Canis lupus familiaris: one gene and its partners. The protein of the gene in region 7 binds, or shares a complex with, the protein of the main gene of each other region. Links are inferred from orthologs where the notes say so. Each region holds a gene or a part of one and is shown on either strand. Other genes may lie near its edges.

The links.
Region 1: small nuclear ribonucleoprotein E-like (region 7) and SART1 share a complex: the UniProt entries of both Homo sapiens proteins name them as parts of the U4/U6-U5 tri-snRNP complex. The link is inferred for Canis lupus familiaris from reciprocal best matches to the Homo sapiens genes SNRPE and SART1.
Region 2: small nuclear ribonucleoprotein E-like (region 7) and GEMIN4 share a complex: the UniProt entries of both Homo sapiens proteins name them as parts of the SMN-Sm complex. The link is inferred for Canis lupus familiaris from reciprocal best matches to the Homo sapiens genes SNRPE and GEMIN4.
Region 3: small nuclear ribonucleoprotein E-like (region 7) and TXNL4A share a complex: the UniProt entries of both Homo sapiens proteins name them as parts of the U4/U6-U5 tri-snRNP complex. The link is inferred for Canis lupus familiaris from reciprocal best matches to the Homo sapiens genes SNRPE and TXNL4A.
Region 4: small nuclear ribonucleoprotein E-like (region 7) and STRAP share a complex: the UniProt entries of both Homo sapiens proteins name them as parts of the SMN-Sm complex. The link is inferred for Canis lupus familiaris from reciprocal best matches to the Homo sapiens genes SNRPE and STRAP.
Region 5: small nuclear ribonucleoprotein E-like (region 7) and PRPF8 share a complex: the UniProt entries of both Homo sapiens proteins name them as parts of the U4/U6-U5 tri-snRNP complex. The link is inferred for Canis lupus familiaris from reciprocal best matches to the Homo sapiens genes SNRPE and PRPF8.
Region 6: small nuclear ribonucleoprotein E-like (region 7) and CRNKL1 share a complex: the UniProt entries of both Homo sapiens proteins name them as parts of the minor spliceosome. The link is inferred for Canis lupus familiaris from reciprocal best matches to the Homo sapiens genes SNRPE and CRNKL1.

What each region holds. Positions count from the first base shown.
Region 1 is NC_049239.1:51,806,163-51,809,662, reverse strand, and holds part of SART1 (U4/U6.U5 tri-snRNP-associated protein 1), read left to right. Parts: coding exon 1-17; intron 18-122; coding exon 123-265; intron 266-3,500. UniProt on the Homo sapiens protein: Plays a role in mRNA splicing as a component of the U4/U6-U5 tri-snRNP, one of the building blocks of the spliceosome. May also bind to DNA.
Region 2 is NC_049230.1:45,008,207-45,012,320, reverse strand, and holds the start of GEMIN4 (gem-associated protein 4), read right to left. Parts: upstream 2,801-4,114; 5' UTR 2,701-2,800; coding exon 2,691-2,700; intron 2,431-2,690; exon of another isoform or gene 2,321-2,430; intron 2,151-2,320; exon of another isoform or gene 2,038-2,150; intron 215-2,037; coding exon 1-214. Other genes in the region: diazepam-binding inhibitor-like 5, read left to right, coding at 2,801-2,971, 3,583-3,903. UniProt on the Homo sapiens protein: The SMN complex catalyzes the assembly of small nuclear ribonucleoproteins (snRNPs), the building blocks of the spliceosome, and thereby plays an important role in the splicing of cellular pre-mRNAs.
Region 3 is NC_049222.1:688,547-692,515, reverse strand, and holds the start of TXNL4A (thioredoxin-like protein 4A), read right to left. Parts: upstream 2,801-3,969; 5' UTR 2,689-2,800; intron 2,331-2,688; exon of another isoform or gene 2,322-2,330; 5' UTR 2,288-2,321; coding exon 2,135-2,287; intron 234-2,134; exon of another isoform or gene 164-233; intron 1-163. UniProt on the Homo sapiens protein: Plays a role in pre-mRNA splicing as component of the U5 snRNP and U4/U6-U5 tri-snRNP complexes that are involved in spliceosome assembly, and as component of the precatalytic spliceosome (spliceosome B complex).
Region 4 is NC_049248.1:15,362,699-15,366,198, forward strand, and holds part of STRAP (serine-threonine kinase receptor-associated protein), read left to right. Parts: intron 1-36; coding exon 37-133; intron 134-801; coding exon 802-939; intron 940-2,518; coding exon 2,519-2,655; intron 2,656-3,500. UniProt on the Homo sapiens protein: The SMN complex catalyzes the assembly of small nuclear ribonucleoproteins (snRNPs), the building blocks of the spliceosome, and thereby plays an important role in the splicing of cellular pre-mRNAs.
Region 5 is NC_049230.1:45,766,922-45,770,421, reverse strand, and holds part of PRPF8 (pre-mRNA-processing-splicing factor 8), read left to right. Parts: coding exon 1-167; intron 168-293; coding exon 294-419; intron 420-507; coding exon 508-613; intron 614-1,840; coding exon 1,841-2,031; intron 2,032-2,161; coding exon 2,162-2,281; intron 2,282-2,372; coding exon 2,373-2,562; intron 2,563-2,716; coding exon 2,717-2,836; intron 2,837-2,946; coding exon 2,947-3,081; intron 3,082-3,500. UniProt on the Homo sapiens protein: Plays a role in pre-mRNA splicing as core component of precatalytic, catalytic and postcatalytic spliceosomal complexes, both of the predominant U2-type spliceosome and the minor U12-type spliceosome.
Region 6 is NC_049245.1:3,686,294-3,689,793, forward strand, and holds part of CRNKL1 (crooked neck-like protein 1), read left to right. Parts: intron 1-815; coding exon 816-994; intron 995-2,040; exon of another isoform or gene 2,041-2,103; coding exon 2,104-2,274; exon of another isoform or gene 2,275-2,562; intron 2,563-2,837; exon of another isoform or gene 2,838-2,874; intron 2,875-3,226; coding exon 3,227-3,418; intron 3,419-3,500. UniProt on the Homo sapiens protein: Involved in pre-mRNA splicing process. As a component of the minor spliceosome, involved in the splicing of U12-type introns in pre-mRNAs.
Region 7 is NC_049222.1:93,813,216-93,815,404, forward strand, and holds small nuclear ribonucleoprotein E-like, read left to right. Parts: upstream 1-1,229; 5' UTR 1,230-1,248; coding exon 1,249-1,527; 3' UTR 1,528-1,689; downstream 1,690-2,189. UniProt on the Homo sapiens protein: Plays a role in pre-mRNA splicing as a core component of the spliceosomal U1, U2, U4 and U5 small nuclear ribonucleoproteins (snRNPs), the building blocks of the spliceosome.

The DNA of each region.
Region 1 (3,500 bases), on a different chromosome or scaffold from region 7:
GGACATCAGCGATGAGGGTGAGGGGCCTGTCCAGCCGGGGCAGGGTAGGGGTGGCAAGGGCCGGGCTGAGGGGCCCTGGGCAAGGAGGTGATCTGAGCAGGGCTTCCCTTTGTTTCTTTCAGAAGAGGCTGGAGGACCACAGTCAGGGTCCCCAGAGGTGCTGGAGGAGGATGAGGCAGAGCTGGAGCTGCAGAAGCAGCTGGAGAAGGGGCGTCGCCTGCGGCAGCTCCAGCAACTCCAGCAGCTGCGAGACAGCGGTGAGAAGGTGAGGGGGCCCAGGAGCTGAGCGTGGGGTTGGGGGCATGCTGACCTCCTCAGGGCCAGGGCCTTTAGGGACAGGTGTGTCCATGGTGACCTGTCCTCAGGAGCATGGCACCTTCATTCCAGTTTGGAACTCTTTTGTGTGTGTAATGTCATGTTGTTAGCAGATTTCTTTAAGATCAACCAGTGTTTTGCTCTCAAGATATTTTAAAGTTGGAGCCTTCCCTGTCTTCTTTCCTTCTATGGCTGGGTGTTGCATTCCTCCTGGGAGTAAGGATTGTCCCCGGGGGTGGGGGTATCACTGGTGAGCAGGACAGCGAGGGGCCCTGTGTTCTTGGAGCTGCCTCTCTAGCTGTGGCCTGAGGGCAGGGTAGCAGTAAGCGTGTGTGCACATGCGCACACAGCACTTCTGGTAGCACCTGGAGCTGGGCAGACCGTCTGTGGAAAGCGGAGCAGATGGCTGGAGGGCTGGAGTCTTGGGTCTGCTTTTGAGGGGAGACCTTGCAGGGGATGGCATTTGAGCTGAGACATAAATAACAACGAGGAGCCAATCTTGCAGAGATTCAGGGTGGAGGTGGGTGGGCAGACTGGGCACTCAGGTGGTAGAGACAGCAGGTGTCCTTGGGAGGAGTAGCCTAGAACACTTGAGGGCCTGGCAGTATGAGCCGGACAGAGGCCAGTGGGGCCTTATGGCCATGACCACTGTTGACCCTCAGTGGGCACTTGCCTGGGCCAGGCCCTGCTTGCGTGCTTTGTATATCCAGTGACTTGATGTTCACTGCAACACCTTGTGAGGAAGGTTCTGTTATCTCCGTTTTATAGATGAGGAAACTGAGGCATAGAGGCCTTAGGGAAGTGACCTGGGGTTACATGGCTGGTAAGTGGCAGAGCTGGGGTTTGAACAGCCTGACTCCAAAGTCCACGCTTTTCACCCTACCCCTCCCAGCTCAGGGGGGAGAGACTGGAGCAGTGGCCCAGCCCGTGGGGGCTCCTGCTGTGGGGTCAGAGAAGCAGCAGCCCCTGAGCTGGAAGAGAGCCATGGGAGTGGGTGGCACAGCAGCCAAGTAAGGCTTTTGAGGAGGGGGAGTAGGGAGTCCTCTAATTCCTGAGAGGCAGGTCCGATCTGGAATAATAGAGTCAGCAAGACTGAGGAGGTAAGGAAGCCAGGCCAGCAATTGGGGACAGTCCCTCAGAGCGAGAGCAGGTGGACTGTGCGAATGTTGGAGGTGCAGCGGCGGGTGGTCTCGGCCTCAGTGACCCAGGTGCTCTGCTGCAGCAGGGAACATGGCCCTGGATGGTGTGGTGAGTGGGCGTGGCTGTGATCCAAAAAGGCTTGGTTGGCAAGAGCAGGTGGTGGGCTGTATGCTGTCCACCGCTGCTGCAAAGAGGGTCAGAGAAATGGGGCGGTAGCCAAAAGGGGTGTGAATGAGGATAACCAAGAGTGCAGAAGTCTGTCCTTGTGGAACTTTTGTTCTAGTGAGAGGACATGAAAGAAGACATAAACAACATCCAGTAGGAAAACCACTGTGAGCAGAAACAGGAAAAGGCCAGGTAGTGGAGAGATGAGGAGTGAAGAAGCGCTCCCGTTTTAGGTCTTCTGGTCAGGGTGGGCTTCCCCGAGGAGGTGACCATTGAGATCCAGATGAAGTGTAAGTATCAGTGACATCTAAGGGCGCAGTCCAAGGTGAGGGAACACCTGGCCCCTGAGACCCTGAGACACGAGCCACTGGGCTTGCTCAGGAAGTTGGCTGAGGCCTGCATGGCTGCAGGGGCAGGAACCCCAGGGAGTGTTACAGGGAAGGAGATGGTCACGGGCCATTCAGGCAGAGACTTGCTGTTGCGGTAGATGTAGCCATCAGAGTTCTGTCTTTGGAGGAAAAGCAGTGGAAGGCTGTTGCAGACATCCAGTTGGAATGACGTCGACTGTGATGGTAGCCGCAGAAACAGGAGGAAGTGGCTGTATTTGGAATGCATTTTGAGGGTAGAATCAACAGCGCTCATTTGTAGATTGTGTGCAAGATTGTGAGTGGGTACAAGAAGTTAAGGATGACTCCCAAGAATTCTGACTTGAACAGCTGGCCTCTTGCTGAGTTAAGGAGAGGGTAAGGCCATTCCTGAGATGGGAAGAGCTGGGGAGATAACAAAATGTTCGGTTTTGGTTAAGTCTAATAAAAAGTGCTTTTCTATTAGGGGTATTTGATACTGAACAGGCAGTTGGATATGTGAATTTGAACTTTAAGGGAAAGGCTGAGACTGGAGTTATAAATGCAGAAGTCATTTAAAGTCCTAGGATCAGCTGGAGTCATCAGGACGGTGAGTGTGGAGAAGGGAAAGTGCGTGAGGGTAGCCAAGAGGAGAGGGTCATGTGACAAGGTCCTGAGTCACGTGACAAGTGGCTCTTGAGAGGAAGCGTGTAAGCATCTGTGACGCATGCTCCAGAGAACTTGGGTATTGGGGATGAGCATTGACCTTTGGATTGGGCAACATGGAGGTCACTGATGGTCTTGTCTAAATCGTGGTCTTTTGGGGTGCGGTGGTGGGAACTGAGAGCCAGACCACACAAGTTTCAGCAAGGCTGCCAGGTATAAGATTACCAGATAAGAGCCAGTTGTGTTTACACACACCAACAAGAGAGAGAAAGTATAACTTTAAAAAAGGTACTGTTTGTGAAAGCAGTATAAATAGTAAAGTAGCATAGATAAGTGATAACAAAATGGATAAGAGAGAGGCCGATTGCAACAAAATAAAAAGGAATAAATGATGTGTGAGATAGGGATCCCTGGGTGGCGCAGCGGTTTAGCGTCTGCCTTTGGCCCAGGGCGTGATCCTGGAGACCCGGGATCGAATCCCTCGTCGGGCTCCCAGTGCATGGAGCCTGCTTCTCCCTCTGCCTGTGTCTCTGCCTCTCTCTCTCTCTCTCTCTCTCTCTCTCTCTGTGTGTGTGACTATCATAAATAAATAAAAATTAAAAAAAAAGATTTAATGATGTGTGAGATAGATCTCTATGGGGGAAGTTGCAGTCCATCTTTGAAAGACATTGAAGAAGACATAAATAGATAGACTGTGGTTTTAGGCAGCTAGGGCTGCCGTGACAGAATGTCACAGACTGGGTGGCTTAAGCAGCAGAAATTTACTTCTCAAAGTTTTGGAGTCTGGAAGTTCAAGATCAAGGTGTTGGTAGGTCTGGTTTCTCCTGAGGCTTGTAGGTGGTTGTCTTCCTGCTGTGTCCTCTTATGGCC
Region 2 (4,114 bases), on a different chromosome or scaffold from region 7:
GCCCAGATGATGATCAGAGCTTTCTTCTTCCAGGCAAAGGGCTGGGAGCATGTTGTGGCGGAGGAGATCTCCCTTAGGGCCTCCACAATGGGCTGCCCAACATGTTCCCAGTCAGACTTTGTCAGTTCTGTCAGTGCTTTGGGGTGGAAGAGCTGCTCGGCAAGCAAAAAGCCCCCATGCAGAATAGTCATTTCTTCACAGATATTCAAAGGTCCTGCACAGAAAGAAGCCGCACAAGACAGTGTGGTGAAAAATCTTTAAAATAGTTAGTAGAGGCTAGACAGAGACATCAGTTGGTAGGCTGGCTGTCATCACCAGGGTTAGAGATGATAAGGGTTCTAATGGGGAAGAAGAGATGGCTCTAGCCACTGTAGAGCTGGAATCAAAAGGACTTACCTAAGGAATATAAAGGACTCTCAAAGTCTAGCCTGGATTTAGAAGACAATGGCTATCACTGGAGGAAGAGAATCAGAACAGCTTTGGGGGGAACACTGTTCAGTTTTGGTTATTTGGAGTTTGAGGTAGAACATTAAGAGAGAGATGTCCTCCAGCAATGGAAATGTGGGGTTGATGCTCAAGAGGAGAGTCAACCCTGAGATGTGACTCAGGGAGGGGTCTGCCTAGAGGGGATCAATGGAACGAACAAAGTGAATGAGATTCTGCAGGAAAACCATGTGTAAAGGAAAGGGCTAGGCGCTCCAGTAACGGATGGGCCAGCAGAGGAGGTGGAGAGGAGGGGTGACAGAGGGTGCGTACTGTGCAACATGGCAGTCAAGCTTCTGAATCATGATTCAGCCTAAGAAGGGAGGGGCCAGGGCTGAGGCCGCAGAAGCAATCAAACAAGCCCTGCCTTCCCCCTTTTGTCTTACAGTCTTCTTACAAATTTCAAATGTTCTGCCTTTCAGGGAAACAGTTTACCCCACAGCTCTTTCTGTCAAATAGAACAAGCTACCAAATGCTCTGGTTCTCTCATAGAAACCAAGAGGTAGACATAAAATATACTTAGTAGATTAGGAAAGAAAAGTCTCTTCTCCAGTAAGCCCTGAATCAACACTTATCAAGGAAGGCATCTGGGGAGGTTTAATTAGACACAGCTTTAAATCCTAGTTCAGCCATCTAGAAGCTAGAGCTTCTCTGAGCTTCCCTTCTGCATCTGTGGGGAGAACACAGACTTCATACTAGACTGGGAGGATCAAGTGCGATATACTAGTCACACCCTGAGTACTGAGCTAGTTGTTCAGTGTTAGCCCCCAATTCCTCGTTCCCTCATGCCCCCAAGTACATATCTTTCCCAGGAGCCAGCAAGAGAGAATCTTGATTTAGGAGACTAAAAATGATCCTGCCCTTCAACTTTAAGAGAGCAGCAAAAGGCCAAAGGATCAGCACTCCTATGCAACCAACTGGTGAAGGCAATCCACCTTGGCTCCTAGTGGCCTAGGCAGACTCCCAGGAAGATTAGATTGCTGACAGGTCTCACTGGGGATTCTGGCTTTTTTTTTTTTTTTCTTTCTTTTTTTTAGTTCAGGCTGCTCTCCTAGGCCCCCAAAATATGTTCTCTTATGACTCTGTAAATTTAATTTTGTTGCACAATCAGCTCAGCTGAGATGTTTGTCCCCCAAAACCTATTATTCCAGAGACAGTATGTTCATTGTGCTACCAGAAGGAGTAAGTCCCAGGAGCTATTGGTGAATAGCTGGGCAAATCCCAAGTGTTTTTATCACAACTGGATAACAGGCTTGTAGGTGCCCACTCCAAAACTTTATTAAGCGCTTACTCCGTGCCAGGCACTGTGCAAGAGCTCTTTTAATCCTCAACCTTTTGAGAACCATTCTGTTTCAGAGATGGGACCACTGAGATTCAGAAAAATTTGCTCAGGATGTCCCAACTATAGTGTAGTTGGGGCCTGGGACGGAAATCACCACAGCTCCAGGGCTCCAAGCTCTTGAGCTCTACTGTTGCACCACTGAAGCCGTGGCTGGGGGCAGGACTACAACATTTCTCCACAGCCTGTTACTGGCACACCTTGGGGTGCCTCACCTCAGCTCTCTGAGAACAGCCTCCTGCATGACCGGCAGGGTGGGAGGCTGGACAGGAGTCACCATATACTAGCTCCCCGCTCCCTTCTCCCAGGCTCTGCCTGTGAGGATTCTGAATCAAACGTGCCCCCTCGGCTCCTCGGCCCTCCCCACAACTGCCGGTCGGCTGAACTAGCTGCGCGCATGGCACCCTACCCGACCCTGTATACACGTGCTCTCAATCAAACGCCCCCAACTGTGTGTGGTGGGTATGCTATCGTCACCCCCGTTTTATCGATGAGGACCTCATGGCAGAGGACGCTTGCCCAAGAGCTCAGCAGCGGTTAACTAAGCGAAACCGTCGGTGTATCCTTCTGAGCCTGCATTTTCCAAAGCACGTGCACGAGCACTGTCCACTCTGAGGAAATCTAACCTCACATCCGCTTGGCCCTTCACGTGGAAAGGCGCCCCGCGGGGGGCAAGCCGCGGGTGGAGGGGCGGCGGCGCCGCGGCAGCGCCGGGCCTCCCGATCCCGGCCGCGGAGGACACCCCCGCCCTCCCGAGCCCTCCCCGACCCGGAGGTCTCCCTTAGCCCGGGCCCGCTCTGCACCGCCCTGGCCGCCTGGTGCGGGACGCAGACCACGAGGGCGGAGGACCGAGAGCGGCGACACCCACCTAGGTCCATGGCGGCGACGCTGCGGGTCGCGCGGGCCGCCCCTCCCCCCGAGGCTCCGAGTGAGACGCAGGCGCCACGACACAATGGGCGGCTCCGGGAGGGCGGGACAATGGGCCGCGCCTCAGCCCCCGCCCACCATCTCGGCTCAGGCTCCGCGCCGCCGTCCGCAGGCCTCCCGCCGCGCCGCGCGCACGCGCAGAGCCCACCAACAGGTCCGCGGCGCCCAAGCAGCCCGGCCCACAGCGCCCCCTACCAGCCGAGGCCTCCGCCAAGCCAGCCGGCAAGTGGACCCGCGCTTCCCTTCGGCCGGGCGCGCCCCGCCCCGCCCCCAAGCCGCGGTCCCCACCTTCCCCTTGGCCCGCGCCGCTGCCCTGCTTCTGCCCCGCCCAGCGCAGCCCTGGGGGATCATCCCCACGGGATCACCCCACTAGCTCCGCCTCGGCTCCGCGTTCGCTTCCATCCAGTAACCCTCGGGATCCCGCGCTTAAGGTTCACCGCACTGAACGCCCGCCCCAGGCCGCCCACTAACTAGCACAGACTGGCGGTTCTGAAAGGCCTCCTCCCGGCACAGCGCAGCGCCCCCCCAGCACACTTCCTTCTCACGGGAGGACAGCATCCTTAATTTTCTGGCATTAAAGGCACCTTTGAAATGTTACTGGTTGCCCTCCCCAGAAAATGCACTTTGCTATCCAGAGCAATAGTGGCGGAGATCCATTCCAGTGGGCCTTAGTTTCCAATCTGTACTTTATAAAAACACATTTGACTCCTGAGAAAACACATACACAAACATCCTATGTTCTTCTCACACATTACCCTGTCTTCTTTGCTCCCATTCCCTTCCTCCCAGACCTAATCACTAGCCTCCAGTGTTTCTAATTCTCCATCCTCCAGCTTCCAGTGCCAGCCATCACCCAGAAAGGACACAAGGGCTGGGCCTCAGCACCCCCAATGTGCCAAGTGGAGTTTGAGATGGCCTGTGCTGCTATCAAGCAGTTGAAGGGACCTGTGAGTGATCAGGAGAAGCTACTGGTGTACAGCTTCTACAAACAGGCCACCCAAGGCGACTGCAACATCCCTGCCCCACCTGCTACAGATGTGAAAGCCAAGGCCAAGTGGGAGGCATGGAACCAGAATAAAGGGATGTCCAAGATGGATGCCATGAGGATCTATGTTGCCAAGGTGGAAGAACTGAAGAAAAAAGATACTGGTTAAGGAGGACAGAATATCAAACACAATGAAGTAGCATGGCTCCTCTGGTAGCGAAAAGGGTTTCTTAAAAGACCAACGGCTGAAACGTCCTGAAACCATAACCACCATAGCCGAGACACATCAATAAATCACTTAAACTGCAAGAGAGTGTTAATGGAAAGCTGATTAAACTCCAAGTGACAGAGTTCTGGGGAGGTGTTCAAAATATATAAAA
Region 3 (3,969 bases), about 93 Mb from region 7:
TCATTAAGCTTACCTCCCATGTTTTCAGGGCAGCTCAAAACTAATACAGCATGAGGTGGTGGCCTCATGATGGTTGGCACCATCAAAGCATCAAGTCAACACACCACATTCCCGGAGAAACAATCTAATCAAGTCCAGCCTAAACGGTGGAACTTTTACTCACTTTAAAACAGCTGGGGTATCCAAACAGGGCTCGAGACAGGATGAGGAAGATCCCCCACTATCTGCCATTTCTGCAGAGGGAGATTTTTAGATAGTTAAGTTGTTCTTTATACTAAAACTTTAAATTTCAAAAATTCCTGTTGAGCTCAAGAAGGACTTCCAGAATTATAAACTCATGTTTTGCCTTTACACAGAAGAAAATAAAACAATTATCTTGTGATGAGTTTCAAGTTTGCATTTCTAATAACTGTACTATATAATATTAAAAGTTTATTAAAACAGAAATCCAAATTTTTGGACCAAAGAAAAAGTACCTTAAAGATAAAACAAAGACAAATACTCAAAGTGAGCCCAACTAAACTGTTCTTATCAGTAGGTTCGATCCCAGAGTGCGTTCCTCAGTGATCCCGCAGTCCAGCCTACAGCTGACACACAGGGATGGGAAAAGAACAAACAACTTGCTGAAAGTCCCTAAGAGCTCAGGTTAACACAAAATCTGTCTCCCAAAGAAGAGCGTCTTGCTGGGTTTTGCCTGGGTATGAAGAGCCAAAGGAGCCTCCCGTCTCTAACCATCCTGACCCTGCACCGAGGGCAGCAGGAGCTGGTCACCACCTGGTGTTTATGCCCCCACATGCCCCGCACAATTCAGAACACACACCCTACGTTATTTCAAGGTCAACAGAGCAGCAATGGTGTTTCTCAGGAAAGTGCTTGGAGGTGGTTCTTCACTGACCACAGCAGTGTCTGCTTTTGACGCGACAAACTGGCGCCGCAGCTCTCCCGAGCTCCCCAGGCACCTCCTCAGGCTCCCCAAGAAGAGAAAGGGAACGGCCAGTCTCCCAGCACCCTTACTCTGATCCCGAACTCTGCCAAGTGGTTTTTGGAAGCCACTTCAGAATTCCCAGGGCAGCTTTTGGGCAGAGCTGTGTGTGGACCTCACCCCAGACCTGCAGAACGAGAACCTCGGAGGTGCACCTGAGCAAGTCTTCCAAGCGATCCTCACGTGACTGACCGGAAAGACGGCCTCCACAGTTCCACGGTTCCCAGTGCTACCACCCGGCCTCGCTTGGCTTCTCCCGCCACACAGGAGATCAGAAAAAGTAGCAGTGGAAGGTCAGATAGTTGTTAGTGAACTAACCTCAATGTGGGGTCCTGCTCTGACCCCCGAGACTTCGCCTTTCCCAGACACATCTGTCCCTACACCTGTTACCATGTACTGAGCTATCTTAAGCCCTTCTTCCTCTGAAAGAAATCATGGCTTTAATGTTTCCATTACTCTTGACCTCTCCTTATTTACGGAATATCAGTAAGTAATCTATGAATTGGCTACAACTACACATCCAAATGAAAGTTCTCCTGAAATGAGCCCACAGAGCCCACAGGAGAGCACCAGGTGCTGCTGGTTCTGGAACTGCCAACAGAGCCTCCGACAAGCCAGGGTGCCAGCATGGTGACCCAGACTGGGTCCAACCAGGCAAGTCTCCCAGAGCACGTCTGAGCTAGGAGTGCACTTAGGGCACAAAGACCGGGATGGAGAACAGGCTTTCCTTCCCCTGACAGGCACGACTGCCTCCCACACACAGGGAGCAAAGCACCAAAAACTGGCAATCCTGTGCAGCTACCTGGCTAAAATGGCGTTCCACGAAGTCCCTAGGTGTGCTGCTCCCAGCTCCGTGGAGGTGGCACCATGAACCCCTTCAAAACCTGGAGACCAGGGACACACTGCTCCCACGGAAGGACCGTAGCCTCGGGGCACAGGGTCAGGCCCCCTGAGCCCGCCGCACCCTACCCTCTGAGGCCTGGAGCCTCCACGCGGGGGTCAGGCCCTTGGACCCTGCTGCGCCTCTGCAGCCTGGAGGAAGAGGAGGACCTGCACGCGGTCACCTCACTCCAACCCTGCAGCCACCTAGCAAACGGGGCAAACCAAAGACCACAGCTTCCTAGGCTGACGCTGGGCGGGGGGCTGTGTTACCTTCTCCGCGATGCTGTACAGCACCTCGTCCATCTTCATACACGTGGGGTCCCAGTCGTGTCCAAAGCGGATGACGACCACGCGGTCCTCCTCCGACAGGATGGCCTGATCCACCTGCCAGCCGTTGTGCAGGTGTGGGAGCATGTACGACATCTCGGGGCGGCTCCGGGTACACCTGCGGGCACACCTGCGGGAACTGTGCGCACCGGCTCCTTGCGGCCGACTGCGGGCAAGGGCTGCACGTCGCACCCGCCCGCGCCCCTGGGTCCCACAGCAGACCTCACCCCCCCGACCCCTGGAAGAGGGACGGCACTGAGGGGACGCCCTGCAGACCCAGTCCCCGGTGCGGAGGCCCCGGGGTCGCCCCCATCCGTGCCCCTCGGTCCCGCCGCGGGGAGGGCCTGGGACCCCCGCAGACCTTGCCCCCGGCCCCCGGCCCCGGCCCCGGCCCCTGTCAAGCTCTACCCCTGGAAGGAGAACGGGGCCGCGAGGACGCCCCGCAGACGCCAGCCCCTGCCTCCCTCGCCCCCGCTCCCCGCTCCGTCCGCCCGCACCTCAGCCGACCGCAGCCTCCCGCGCGGCAGCCCTTCCCGGCGGGGACGCGAGCCGGTCGGTGCGTGCGCGTGGCCGCCGACGCGAGCGTGAGCGTGCGCGTGGCCGCCGACGCGAGCGTGAGCGTGAGCGTGCGCGTGGCCGCCCGACGTAAGCGTGAGCGTGCGCGTGCGCGTGCGCGTGGCCGCCCGACGTAAGCGTGAGCGTGCGCGTGCGCGTGCGCGTGCGCGTGGCCGCCGACGAGGGGCCGCGCGCGCCCGGCGCCGGGAGGGAGGGACACCGAGCCGGGGCTCCCGTGTGCGCCCGGGCGGTGCGGCCGGTGGCCCCCGGACCCCGCGGGGTCGGTCTCCTGAGGTGTCGCCGCGGTCACGGGGGGCCCGGCTTTGCCGCCTGATTCTCAGCCCCAGTCAGGCCCCTCGGAGCGACCCAGCTTCTCCGCGGCGCCCCCGTGCCCTGGGGGTGTGACGAGGGCAGCCGGCCGAGCGGAGCTGCGAGGTGCGGTTCGGGTCCCGGCGGGGAGCAGCGCTGGGAGCCGGGGGACGGGGCCGGCACACGGGACAGGCCGAGGACCGTGACGTGACGGGCTGGGGAAGGCCCGTCCTGCTCACCGCACAGCCGTCCCCGGGGCGGTCAGGGCAGACTAGGCCCCGCTGTGCGGTCGCCGCGTCAGCAGAAGACCAGCTAAGGTGTGGGTCACCGTGTGAAACACGCACGGCCCTTGTCGCCCGTCGCCCCGTCCGCCTCCGGGCGCGTCCTTTTTGTCAAGAAGCTGACGGAGGATCCCCCACGTCCTGTGGGGTCCTCGCGCTGCAGCCCCGGGGGGTCGTAGAAGCGCCACTGCGGTCTCCGTTGGGGCAGCTCCCGTCCTGCTGGGGGGAGGCCCGAGCGCGGTCGGCTGGTCGTCCCCACTCCCCGCGGTCCCTGAGCCCCGGCGACCGCGGACTCCCGCCCGCCTCCCTGCCCCCGCCTGCCCCGGGCAGTTCGTGCGAGCGGAGACCGACCGGGACATCGCCCGGGACTGCCTTCTCCAGGCCGCGCTGTCCGCGGGCGTCAGGATTCGGTCCTCGGTGCTGGTTACCACTTCATCATACGCATGTGTGCATTTTTTTATTTTTATTTTTTATACATTTATTTTTTGTTGGTGTTCAATTTGTCGACATCTAGAATAACACCCCGTGCCCGTCCCGTCAGGTGCCCCCTCAGGGCCCGTCACCCAGTGTGTGCATTTCATTTATCCATCGTCTGACATTTGGCTGTTTCCACTTTCTGGCCGTCGTGCATAT
Region 4 (3,500 bases), on a different chromosome or scaffold from region 7:
TATTAACAAATATATTCTACATTGTTTCATTTTAAGAACCTAAGGAAATCAGTGGTCACACCTCTGGTATTAAGAAAGCTCTATGGTGCAGTGAGGATAAACAGATTCTTTCAGCTGATGATAAAACTGTCCGGTAAGTAATTTTTCTTTAGTAATTTAAAGTTTGAAACATTTGACCTTAGTGCTTATATTTTAAATATTTCTCATAACTGTATGTAGGAAGAATTATCTCTATACATTGAAAGTTAAGTTGTACATAGGTCACATTTTCTTGGAGCTATCCATTTACTGTTATAAACATAGAGCATAATCTACAAGACACTGAATTAAAATTATTGACATCTTTATAAGCATGTGCTCTTGACCTGAAGTAGTGGACACACTGGCTACAGGAGGTCCATGAAACTCCTGAAATTCTATGAAATTTTGTGTGCTGACACCTGATGTTTTTTTCTGTGGAGAAAAAACCCCAATCAGATTTATAAATACAGAATTTAAGAACTGTTATTTAGAGTGACACTAAAATTGCTAAGATTAAAACCTTACATGACTTTTAGCATAGTTTTGCCAAGAGAGGTATTTTTAAGTATAAGTTAACTTTACCAACAAGATACCAAGTAATTTAACATTGTATAGGAACCCCAAATTTCTCCATATCATCTATAATTTATGAGTTGGAATGGAGGAGGTTTTACTACAATTGTGATTATGCTTTCATTGGTTAATCTGTAAATATAATTGGGAATTAAGCTTTTTTCTTAAATAAGCTAATTATCACCTTATTTTCCTCTTCTTTTGCAGCCTTTGGGATCATGCTACCATGACAGAAGTGAAATCTCTAAATTTTAATATGTCTGTTAGCAGTATGGAATATATTCCTGAGGGAGAGATCTTGGTAATAACTTATGGACGATCTATTGCTTTTCATAGTGCAGTAAGGTATGTCCAAGAAATACCTTCCCTTTTTTTTTGGTAACTTAAAAATTGGAAGGCAGAAGTGAAAAATATATAACTCTTTAATAAGGCAAATCTTGACCATATTATATGGGGAAAATGTTTCCATACCACTAATAATGTGTATTTTAAGAATTTGATACACTAGGGAATTAATCTAATTATTTCCAGTGTTTAGGGGAGATTTATTGGTAAAATTTAGTAACTTTTAAATTTTCTTTTTTTGATTATATTTTTCTTAAAAGGATCTCTAGACTGGAATTATACTTAACGTTCATTACTGTATAAAGCTACTGTGATCTTGATTCTCTTATTCATTTTCCCTTTAACATTTTAGAGAAATAGTGATTTTTTTTCTTCTATTCCAAAGTTTGTATAGACCTAATAATGTTTTTTAAAAACAGACGTAGGGGATCCCTGGGTGGCTCAGAGGTTTAGTGCCTGCCTTTGGCCCAGGGCATGATCCTGGAGTCCTGGGATTGAGTCCCATGTTGGGCTCCCTGCATGGAGCCTACTTCTCCCTCTGCCTGTGTCTCTGCCTCTCTCTCTCTCTCTCTCTCTCTCTCTCTGTCTCTCATGAATAAATAAATAAAATCTTTAAAAAAAAAAAAGATGTAATTTTTTTGTGACTGTAAATATAGTAAATGCCCTTGTTGAAAATTTGGGAAATATAATTTTTAAAAATTTACCCACTGTTCTTCAACCATAGATGCCAGAATGTTAATGGTAGTTGTATCTTCCATTAGTTTTTTTTCTTGGTTACACATTTTTTCTTCATTATACATGTGTAACATTATATATGCATGTATTTGTGTGGGTATTTTTTTTAATTACGAGGGCCCTATAAGTGTAATTTTGATTTTTTATTTTAAACTGTTGTTAGCTATTCAAAATTGTTTGAAAATACTTAGGTTTTACTAAATTATGTATCAATTTCTCTGAAAAAGCTGATGTGAAAACTCACTGATATTCATGTGAAACTATTGGTATGCATTGATTTTTATTATATAGCTATAGTTTCAAATTTGGTTTTTCTTTCAAGCTTGATAGCAAAGATGGAACCATCTTTAGCAGTTTTATATTTTTGTGATATTGAAGGTTTTGTTTCAGAAGCTTATAAATTCTCAGCAGTTGAGAATAATGTACAAATAGTGTTTTATGTTAATTACTATAAAACATTTTCTCAAAGATAATGTGTAGTTGTCATGGAAAAATCAAACAATACAGAATTAAATTTCTTTCAGGGCAAAAATCCAGATATATTAACCATACTGTTGTGAATTAGCCACCACAGTCATTTCTAGGGAAGCGTTCATTGTACAAAGTGTACTTGTATTCCTGGAATGAATTCCACTTGGGCAGAGTATCCTTCTGGACTTTTGCTAATATTATTTAGAGGTTTTTTTGTTGTTGTTGTTGTTTTTTTAACATCACTATGTTTGACTAAATGAAAATATAATTATTTCTTGGGTTTCAGGAATTAGGAACAGTTTAAAAGTACTCTTTCCTGGTATTGTTTATGCAATATTGAAAATTCATCAATATTATTTAAATCATTTTTCAGTTTGGACCCAATTAAATCTTTTGAAGCTCCTGCAACCATCAATTCTGCATCTCTTCATCCTGAGAAAGAATTTCTTGTTGCAGGTGGTGAAGACTTTAAACTTTATAAGTATGATTATAATAGTGGAGAAGAATTAGGTGGGTTGTTCTCTTTTTCCTCCCTTAAAATGATGTGGTTACATTTATCAATGCTGGATTTCAGTAATACCTCAGTTAACAAATTTTTCAGCTAACTAAAACTTTCTATTTTCAAGTGAAAAAGGATTTTTTTCCCACTCTGGATAGAAGTATTTATAGAGCTATAAACAAAGCATGCTAAACTCTCAATTTTACCTTTTCCTTTTAACTTAAGTTCATTGTATTCAGATATTCTATACAGTAGTGCAGTGTATTTATTTGAGGGAAGGAGGAGGCAGGCAGTCTTACGTCAAAATCATGTTAAACAGATGTAAGAGTATTTGTTCTTTCTGAAGTATAATGCTAATATGTAGCTCATCTACCTGGCTTCCCTTTTAGCCAATGTAAAAATCTCTAAGCTCTATAGAGAATAGTGTAGACAAAAAACAGTTATGGTGTATTATAGGGATACCTTAGGGATCTGAATTGGAGGGGATTTTTGTTTGGTAGGGGTTTTTTTTTTGTTTGGAGTCTGACTTTTGCTTCCGTTTTCATAGTAGTCCTTCATAAAGGAAGGGGAAGGGCAGGTAAGATTAATTTGAAGTTAATCTACATCCTAACTTTACATTTATCTGATTGACTAGCTATTTTATAATCATGGTTCTCAGTATCTACTTTTAGCCTTCACAGAATTTCTTTTTGAACTAGTGTATTTAGTCTTTTTCTGTAAGCTGCTACTTGTTTCTAGCTGCCTTGCTTTACTACCCAATGAAATTAAGCTTGTTAGAATTATACACAAAGAACAAAAGACAACTATATGTTTTGTTTCTTTAGGAAAACTGATAGATTTGGGTTGGATAAATGGA
Region 5 (3,500 bases), on a different chromosome or scaffold from region 7:
ATGATGTCCACTCTATACCGCTTGGCCAATCAGCTCCTGACAGACTTGGTAGATGATAACTACTTCTATCTCTTTGATCTGAAAGCCTTCTTCACGTCCAAGGCACTCAATATGGCCATTCCTGGAGGCCCCAAATTTGAACCTCTTGTTCGAGACATCAACCTCCAGTAAGTTGGAGATACTAGGGATTATAGGCACCTCGGATTGAGTAAAATCTAATCTTGATCCTTGAGATGCCATTGTAGTTTCCAAACTCCCCAACTAGTCTGCTCATCCTTGATAATGTACCCTAGGGATGAAGACTGGAATGAATTCAACGATATTAACAAGATCATCATCCGGCAGCCTATCCGCACTGAATACAAGATTGCTTTTCCCTATCTGTACAACAACCTTCCACACCATGTCCACCTTACCTGGTGAGAGCTAGAGCAAAGGGGGAGAGGGGGGAGAGGATATTGGGCCAGGGCAGGAGAACCTGAGTTTATTACTCTTCCTTTATTTTAGGTACCACACTCCTAATGTTGTGTTCATCAAAACTGAGGATCCTGATCTCCCAGCTTTCTACTTTGATCCTTTGATCAACCCAATTTCTCACAGGCACTCTGTCAAGGTAAGACCTTAGTTCTTTTTTCTTTTTTTTTAAGATTTTATTTATTCATGAGAGAGAGAGAGAGAGAGAGAGAGAGAGGCAGAAACACAGGCAGAGGGAGAAGCAGGCTTCATGCAGGGAGCCTGATATGGGACTCCATCCCAGGTCTCCAGGTTCAGGCCCTGGGCTGAAGACGGCGCTAAACCACTGAGTCACCCGGGCTACCAAGATCTTAGTTCTTTGAAGAGAAATTTGCTGACTGTAGCTGAAGTGTTACTAAATAAAAATTGAACTACCTATTTAGTGTTCCCTTTGAGCTTTGATATGTCAGTAAAGTGCTTGGTTTAAACTAAGTTATTTGTATAATCTGGGTTTTTGTGATTGGGACTTTCCATATAGTAATTTCAGGGCTGTTTGCATTATGAATTTTTTCCAATCCTTTTATTAGATATATTTATTAGTTCACATACCGTACAACTCACCCATTTAAAGTTTATAATTCAGTGGTATTTAGTTTATTCACAGAGTAGTTTAGCTATATCCACAGACAATTTTCCAACCTTTTCATCATCCCAGAAATTCCCATACCATTAGCAGTCGCTGTTTCCCTCCCCTAGTCAACTCCTAGTCTTTCTGTAGATTTGCCTCTTCTGGAGGTTTCATATAAATGGGATCTTTCAGTATGTGGTCTTTTGTGATTGGCCTTTTTTTTTTTTTTATTTATTTATTTTTTTTTTTTTTGGCCTTTTTTTTTTTTTTAAGAGTTTATTTATTTATTCATGAGAGACAGAAAGGCAGAGACATGGGCAGAGATCTAGGCAGGCTCCCCACGGGAACCTGATATAGGACTCGATCCCAGCACTCTGGGATCACGCCCAGAGCCAAAAGCAGACACATCCCTCTGATTGGTTTGAAATAATGTTTTTGATGTTTACCCATGTTCTATAGTGTTCTTAACAGACCTCCCTACTCTAGCTTAGTTTTTGTGTTTACTTAACATATTGGGGCTCCTTTGGGAGGCCTTTGGTGGTGAGCCCGTTAGGGTGTGATGCTTGCTTTCTGCTTGGCCCTAGCTTGTTCTCTACTCCCTTGGCCCTTTTTGCCCTGGCCCTTTAGGGCTTCTCTTGTCTGGCAGCCCAGTTTCCATGGTAGATGGCACCACTGTGCTCAGCCCCAGATAATTTCCCTCTCATCCCAGTTCTCTGTTCAGTTCAGTGGGAGCTGAACCCTTGGGGGTTGTTCTTTCAGAGCCAGGAACCATTACCTGATGATGACGAGGAGTTTGAACTCCCAGAGTTTGTGGAGCCCTTCCTGAAGGACACACCCCTTTACACAGACAATACAGCCAATGGCATTGCCCTGCTCTGGGCCCCAAGGCCCTTCAACCTACGCTCTGGTCGTACCCGCCGGGCCCTGGACATCCCCCTTGTCAAGAACTGGTAAGACTAATACCTGGGGAGATGATAGTAGATGTATAGGAGAAAAGAATTCCAACTGGGTTGACATTCAGTCTTTACCAGAGGGATTAGAAGGAGAAATGGGCTAGCTCTGGTTGGCTAATTTTCTCAGGTATCGGGAGCATTGTCCTGCTGGGCAACCTGTGAAAGTGAGGGTCTCCTACCAGAAACTTCTTAAGTACTATGTGCTGAATGCCCTGAAGCACCGGCCCCCTAAAGCCCAAAAGAAGAGGTAAGGTGCCTGAGGGTCATTGCTCAGACTTCTTTTGTTCCAAATTTAACCAAGAAGCTAATTCTTACTTTTCCACTTATTCCCACCCCAGGTACCTGTTTCGTTCCTTCAAAGCTACCAAATTCTTTCAGTCCACAAAGCTGGACTGGGTAGAGGTGGGGCTTCAGGTTTGCCGCCAGGGCTACAACATGCTCAACCTTCTTATTCACCGAAAAAACCTCAACTATCTGCATCTGGATTATAACTTCAATCTTAAGCCTGTCAAGACCCTCACTACCAAGGTGTCTGCATTGTACTTTAAGGGTCTTCTGGGCTTGAGGGATGGACTGGTTTTGCTCTGTCCTCTGAGGAAGGCATACATCCAGTTGGGACCATTACTGATCAATGTTTGTTTGTTTGTTTGTTTGTTTTTTCTATTCTTGGCACCTTCTCCAGGAAAGAAAGAAATCTCGTTTTGGAAATGCTTTCCATCTGTGTCGAGAAGTTCTGCGTTTAACCAAGTTGGTGGTGGACAGTCATGTGCAGTATCGCTTGGGCAATGTGGATGCCTTCCAGGTGAGGCCAAGTATCCCTGATCCCTGCCCTAGGTAGGGAAGCTGAATGAAGCCTAAGCTGATCATGGAGCTGGCTCTAGCTTAAAGCCTGATGGAGTCATTGTGTTGCAGCTGGCAGATGGGTTGCAGTATATCTTTGCCCATGTGGGGCAACTGACGGGCATGTACCGGTACAAATACAAGCTGATGCGGCAGATTCGCATGTGCAAGGACCTGAAGCATCTCATCTATTACCGCTTCAATACGGTTGGACCCTGCCCTCATACTCTCACTTTCTTCATCCAGTTTGTTCATTTGTTCATTCTTTCATTCATTCATTCATTCATTCATTCATTCATTCATTCATTCATTGTGTTTGGAAGGCAGAGGGAGAGAAAAAGAATCTTAACTAGGTCCACACTGAGTGTGAGGCCTGATATGGGGCTCAATCTCATGACCCCGAGTCTCAGATCCATTTTAATTTTTATGTCTAGTCAGCGTTCCTTCCGGGGACCAATTTAGAGAAAGGTTCTGAGCGTTTCATTACTTGCCCTCACCTTATTAATTGTAACACTTTCCATTGAAGCCTGCCTTTAAATAGAGAATCCCAGTTACTGGTTTCTGTGTTAGAATTTCTCATTTATTCCATTTTTGATGTTGAGGTCCCAGAGTTTTGCCTCTTTGCC
Region 6 (3,500 bases), on a different chromosome or scaffold from region 7:
ATCTATTAAGATATAAAATAATTCAAAACTTTCTTTTGTATGTCAACCATATTTCAATAAGAAAAGAGAAAAACCTAAAAAATTCTTCTCTTTGCCAATACTTAGCAGTTTTGTTTTTGTGAGATTTTTTTCTTAGTCATTAATTGAAATATTAATGTTATTGAGCATGTAATAGAGTAGGTGCCATTTGTTGAGTGGACACATTCTTTTGGCCCCAAGCTGCAAGGGATTTTACACACATTTCCTCCTTTAAAGCCACTGAGTTGGGGCATCCTGGGTGGCTCAGTGGTTTAGTGCTGCCTTCAGCCCAGGGTGTGATCCTGGAGAACCAGGATCGAGTCCCATGTCGGGCTCCCTGCATGGAGCCTGCTTCTCCCTCTGCCTGTGTCTCTGCCCCCCCCCCCTCTCTTTCTCTCATGAATAAATAAATAAGAAATCTTTAAAAATAAATAAATAATACCACTGAGTTGGGTTAGTATTATTTTTCTCTATTTACAGAGAACCGAGTCTTAGGCAAGTTAAATGAATTGTCTAGGATGGCATGGTTTATAACAGACCTCAGCTTTTTCATTTCTCAAAACTCCCATTTGTACCCACTACAGAAATACTGAATAAGCACTGGAGGAAGACAGATGAACCAGACACAACCCCCTGCCAGAGGTTACAGATTACCGGTTCTTCACCTTTGCAAATGTTTTATCAAACCCTATAGTTTGTATTGTTGGGGGTTTGGGTTTGGGTTTGGGTTTGTTTTTGTTTTTTTGTTTTTTTAAAGCCTTGTTGTCTTACATGGTATTTCCTTAATTCCCCTGAACTTGTTCTCGTGCACCCTGATGTTAAGAACTGGATCAAGTATGCTCGCTTTGAAGAAAAACATGGTTATTTTGCCCATGCACGGAAAGTGTATGAGAGAGCTGTTGAATTCTTTGGAGATGAACATATGGATGAACACCTTTATGTTGCCTTTGCCAAATTTGAAGAAAATCAGAAAGAAGTAAGTACACTTGAAGAGCTCAGTTATATTGCAGAACAGTTTAGGAAAGAATACTTGTGCACATGGAGTTCATTCCATTTTCTTATTCACTTATCCTTGGAAAAAATGTTTCCAGAATCTCTCAGAGAACAGCACACATGTGGCTTAGCTGCAGATTGGAAACTGAGCAATTTACACATTGTACTAAAGTGTCCTAATTGTATTGTCCTTTTTGAAAATTCAGCTTTCATATCTATGATGAGAATATTGTATGTAAACTGAAAGTTCATCATTTGCTCTCCTCATAAAAGGGCTTTACAGGTAATAAACCTGGAGAACAGAAACCTTTAGAACAGAGAACAGAATTTGAATGAAAACAGAGGTTTCCCCACAAATAAATCGGTTCTGATCTTCCATAATATATATGGAAATAATCCCTTAAAGTAACTCAGATACTACAGGATCGAGAGAGATGGGCTAAGGTCCAAATACAGGGTCAGGCCAGTGGGAATTATGAAGGGTTTGAAGCATAAGAGTGGTAGGATGTGATTTATATTCTAAGGAAGGCCTCTAGCTAATCCATGTAGACTGTATTGGGGAAAACGATGGTGAAAATGGAAGTAAAGGGACTTTTGAAGTGGTTGCGGAAGAAATGGAGATGGTTTGGGGGTGGGGGGGGTACAAAGAGCCATGTTGAAAAGGTAGAGGTGGCAGGGCTCTTTGAGGTAGTGCATGTGGGGAATGAGGACAGGAAAAGAGTCAAGGAGGACTCTTGGGGTTTGGGGCTCGAGCAAGTGCATGACTGTAGGTATTGCTTACAAAGACTGGGAAGACAGAGAGACCCAGGTTTGATGGTGAGAAAAAGGAGGTCAGTTTGGGACCTTTTTAGTCCTAGATGCACAGACGATACCCAACTGGCAGTGTTAGGTAGACAGTATTAGGCGTGGAGCTCAAAGAAGAATATTGGTGTGCCCCAACAAATACCTCAACAGGAGGGAGAAAAAAGTCTTTTTTAGGACATTTTGAAACCACACAATCTTACAGGTAATATATTATGTCATAATTACCTTCCAAGTTGTTGCTAGGGTGAGAATATTGTGTTGAGAAGTAATCCTCCTATCTGCTTTTAGTTTGAAAGGGTACGAGTGATCTACAAGTATGCCCTGGATAGAATTTCAAAGCAGGAGGCCCAAGAACTCTTTAAAAACTATACCATCTTTGAGAAGAAGTTCGGTGATAGGCGGGGTATTGAAGACATCATTGTGAGCAAACGAAGATTCCAGTATGAGGAAGAAGTGAAGGTGAGTGCTGATGCGGACGCTGACCCCTGTAGGTAACAAACATGCTGACCAATAGCAGCTACAGTGAAGGGAAGAATAGCAAGCAAGGACTCCCAGGGATCATGCTCTTGCTGATACGTCTGCAGTAATTGGCAGCCACTGCAACAGGAATCAGCAGGGCTCATAGAAAAGGCCAGCAAGCAGCGCTTGGGTTTGCTCTGCCACCAACATGTTGAAAGTCACTTTGCTGCTTGCTGATTGTGTACCGTAGAACTTGAGCAAATACTGGGAATCCATTTGAACTCATTTCTGAAAAAGATGGACGAGTCAGAGATTGAGCCAAATAGCCTTTGTGCACTACCTTTTAGCTTAACTGCTTGAACAAAAGATGTACTGTAGATATGGTTCTCTTCTCTATCTGTGATGTACTATTTTGTTTCAGATTCAAAGGCAATAGTGTTTCACTAATCTGCTGTGTATCTTAAAGCTTTTGCTAAGTCAAATTAATTAGGATATTGCCAAACAAAGGACTGGGTCCTGTGTTAAATGAGGTCAGTAAGATATATTCAAGATAAATGACTTACTGGAGAAGGCAGATTTCACATTTGTGGCCATGGTTCTGATTGCACTGTAATTTTAAATCTAGACATCATAATGATAAGCAGTCACATATATAAACAAATACATTCATAAAACTAGGCATCTGATTATTGAGTAACTATCTTGAGGGTGGTGGTTGTATATGAAAGCGGCCTTGCCGTGGGACACCTGGCAAATAATCTGTCCTCTATGTTCCTTTTTCTTTTCTATTTATAGGATCTCAGGAACAGTATTTTTAAATGAGCTAGTATGTGAAATCTAGAAAAACAGTTGCTAACATACAGTCAATCAAGGGTGTTCTTTTTCCTCACAGAATCCAGTGAGTGTAGCTCTTGGTTTGATTTTTATTCATTAAACTTAAACGGTCTTTTAGGCTAATCCACACAATTATGATGCATGGTTTGATTACTTGCGCTTGGTGGAAAGTGATGCAGAAGCAGAAACCGTTCGAGAAGTCTATGAAAGAGCCATCGCCAATGTGCCACCCATTCAAGAGAAGCGGCACTGGAAGCGTTACATCTATCTGTGGGTCAACTATGCACTCTATGAAGAATTGGAGGCCAAGGTAAAAAGTGGACTTCCGCATCAGCTATTGATGGCTGCGTCACCTCTGCGGGTATAAGTCTGCTGTTTTGGGTAGCGGTGGG
Region 7 (2,189 bases):
CTACTTGTAGTTATCCCTAGTCATCATCTCAATGTTATTGGGACTCAGATCACCATCTTATAGTTCAATATCCCAATCTTCTTCTTTTTTTAAAAAAGATTCCAATAAATAAATAAATAAATTAATTAATTAATTAAAAAAAAGATTCCATTCATTTATTCATGAGAGACACAGGAAGAGAGAGGCAGAGACACAGGCTGAGGGAGAAGCAGGCTCCATGCAGGGAGCCTGATGAGGGACTCGATCCCAGGTCTCCAGGATCACACCCTGGGCCGAAGGCAGGTGCTAAACTGCTGAGCCACCCAGGGATCCCCAATATCCCTATTTTCTTAGATGTTCCCTTGAGGAAGGGGATCTGCATGTCTTAGAGGTGCTGGACTAGTGCCCTGTGAGTTTCTTGGAACTCTGAAAGTCTATAATCTCTACCAACTCCTCAGTTACTGCCTTTCATGATATGTTTAACTAATCAGGAAAGGGACAAGGAGCATAGACTGCAGGAGCCAGACAGACTAGTGTATTAATTTTCTGTAGCTGGGTAACAAATAACCATACACTTAGTGGCTTGAACACATACTCATTATCTCACGGTTTCTGTGGGCAGGCATTTAGGGATGGCCAAGCTTGGTGCTATGCTACAGGGCCACACAAGATTGTAATGAAGGTGTCAGCCAGGACAGAGTTCTCATCTGCAGGAGCCAATTCTACATAGGGACTATAATAACTTGGATGTGTAGATTTATGTATTTCATCAAATTTGGAAAGATCTGCTCACTATGTTTTCAAATATTCTTTCTGCCCCTTTCTCTTTCTTCTCTTATTCTGCAGCTCCAATCAGGTGTATGTAGGTACACAGGAAGGCATCCCATACATTTTTGTTTGTTTCTTAAGTTTCTCAAAGAGTGATCCTTAAGCCAGAAGCATTGACACCACCTCAGAAGTTGTTAGAAATATAAATTCTGGGGCACCTGGGTGGCTCAGTCAGTTGAGCATCTGATTCTTGGTTTTGGTTCAGGTCATGTTCTTGCAATCATGAAATTAAGTAAGCCCTGTGTTGGGGCTCCATGCTCAGTGGGGAGTCTGCTTTAGATTCTTTCTCCCTCTCCCTCCCACTCATGTGTTCTCTCTCTCTCAAATAAATAAATAAACAAATAAACAAATAAATAAATAAATCCTAAAAAAAAAAAAGAAATGTAAATTCTTAGGCCTTGTTGCAGATGTATTAAAGAAACTCTGGGGTCCGCTTCCACCATGGCGTACCGTGGCCAGGGCCAGAAAGTGCAGAAGGTGATGGTTCAGCCCATCAACCTCATCTTCAGATACTTGCAAAATAGATCTCGGATTCAGGTGTGGCTTTATGAGCAAATAAACATGCGGATAGAGGGCTGTATCATTGGTTTTGATGAGTACATGAGCCTTGTATTAGACGATGCCAAAGAGATTCATTCTAAAACAAAGTCAAGAAAACAACTGGGTCGGATCATGCTAAAAGGAGATAATATTACCCTGCTCCAAAGTGTCTCCAACTAGAATGAATGATCAGTGAAGTGAGAAATTCTTGAGAAGGCCACGTAGTTTGTTTTTTTAGATGTCCTTTGTTGGGAATATAGTTCTAAAACCCTTGTTCATATTGTTTTGATTACCTTTATGTTCTTACCAGAGGACAATAAATGCTGTGGGATTGTTTTTATTAAAAAAAAAAAAAAAAGAAAAAAAAAGAAACTCTGGGGATGAGGCCCAACAATCTGTGTGTGTGTGTGTGTGTGTGTGTGTGTACGTGCATGCGTGCATGTGTGTGTGTTTTAATTGAAGTTGATACACAATGTTATAGTAGTTTTAGGTGTACAACATAGTATTTGACAAGTCTACATATTATGCTATACTTACCGAAAGTGTAACTACCATCTGCCACCACACAACCCAATTACAATATCATTGATTGTATTCCCTACCCTGTACTTTTCATTCCCTTGACTTATTCATTCCATAACAAGAAGTCTGTACTTCTTACTCCCTTTTACCCATTTTGCCCATCCCCCTAAACCCCCTTTGACAACCACCAGTTTGTTCTCTGTATCTATGAGTCTGTTTCTGTTTTGTTTGTTCCTTCATTTTGTTTTTTTAGTTCCACACATAAGTGAAATCATATAGTATTTGTCTTTTTCTGTCTGAGTTGTTTCGTTCAGCATAAT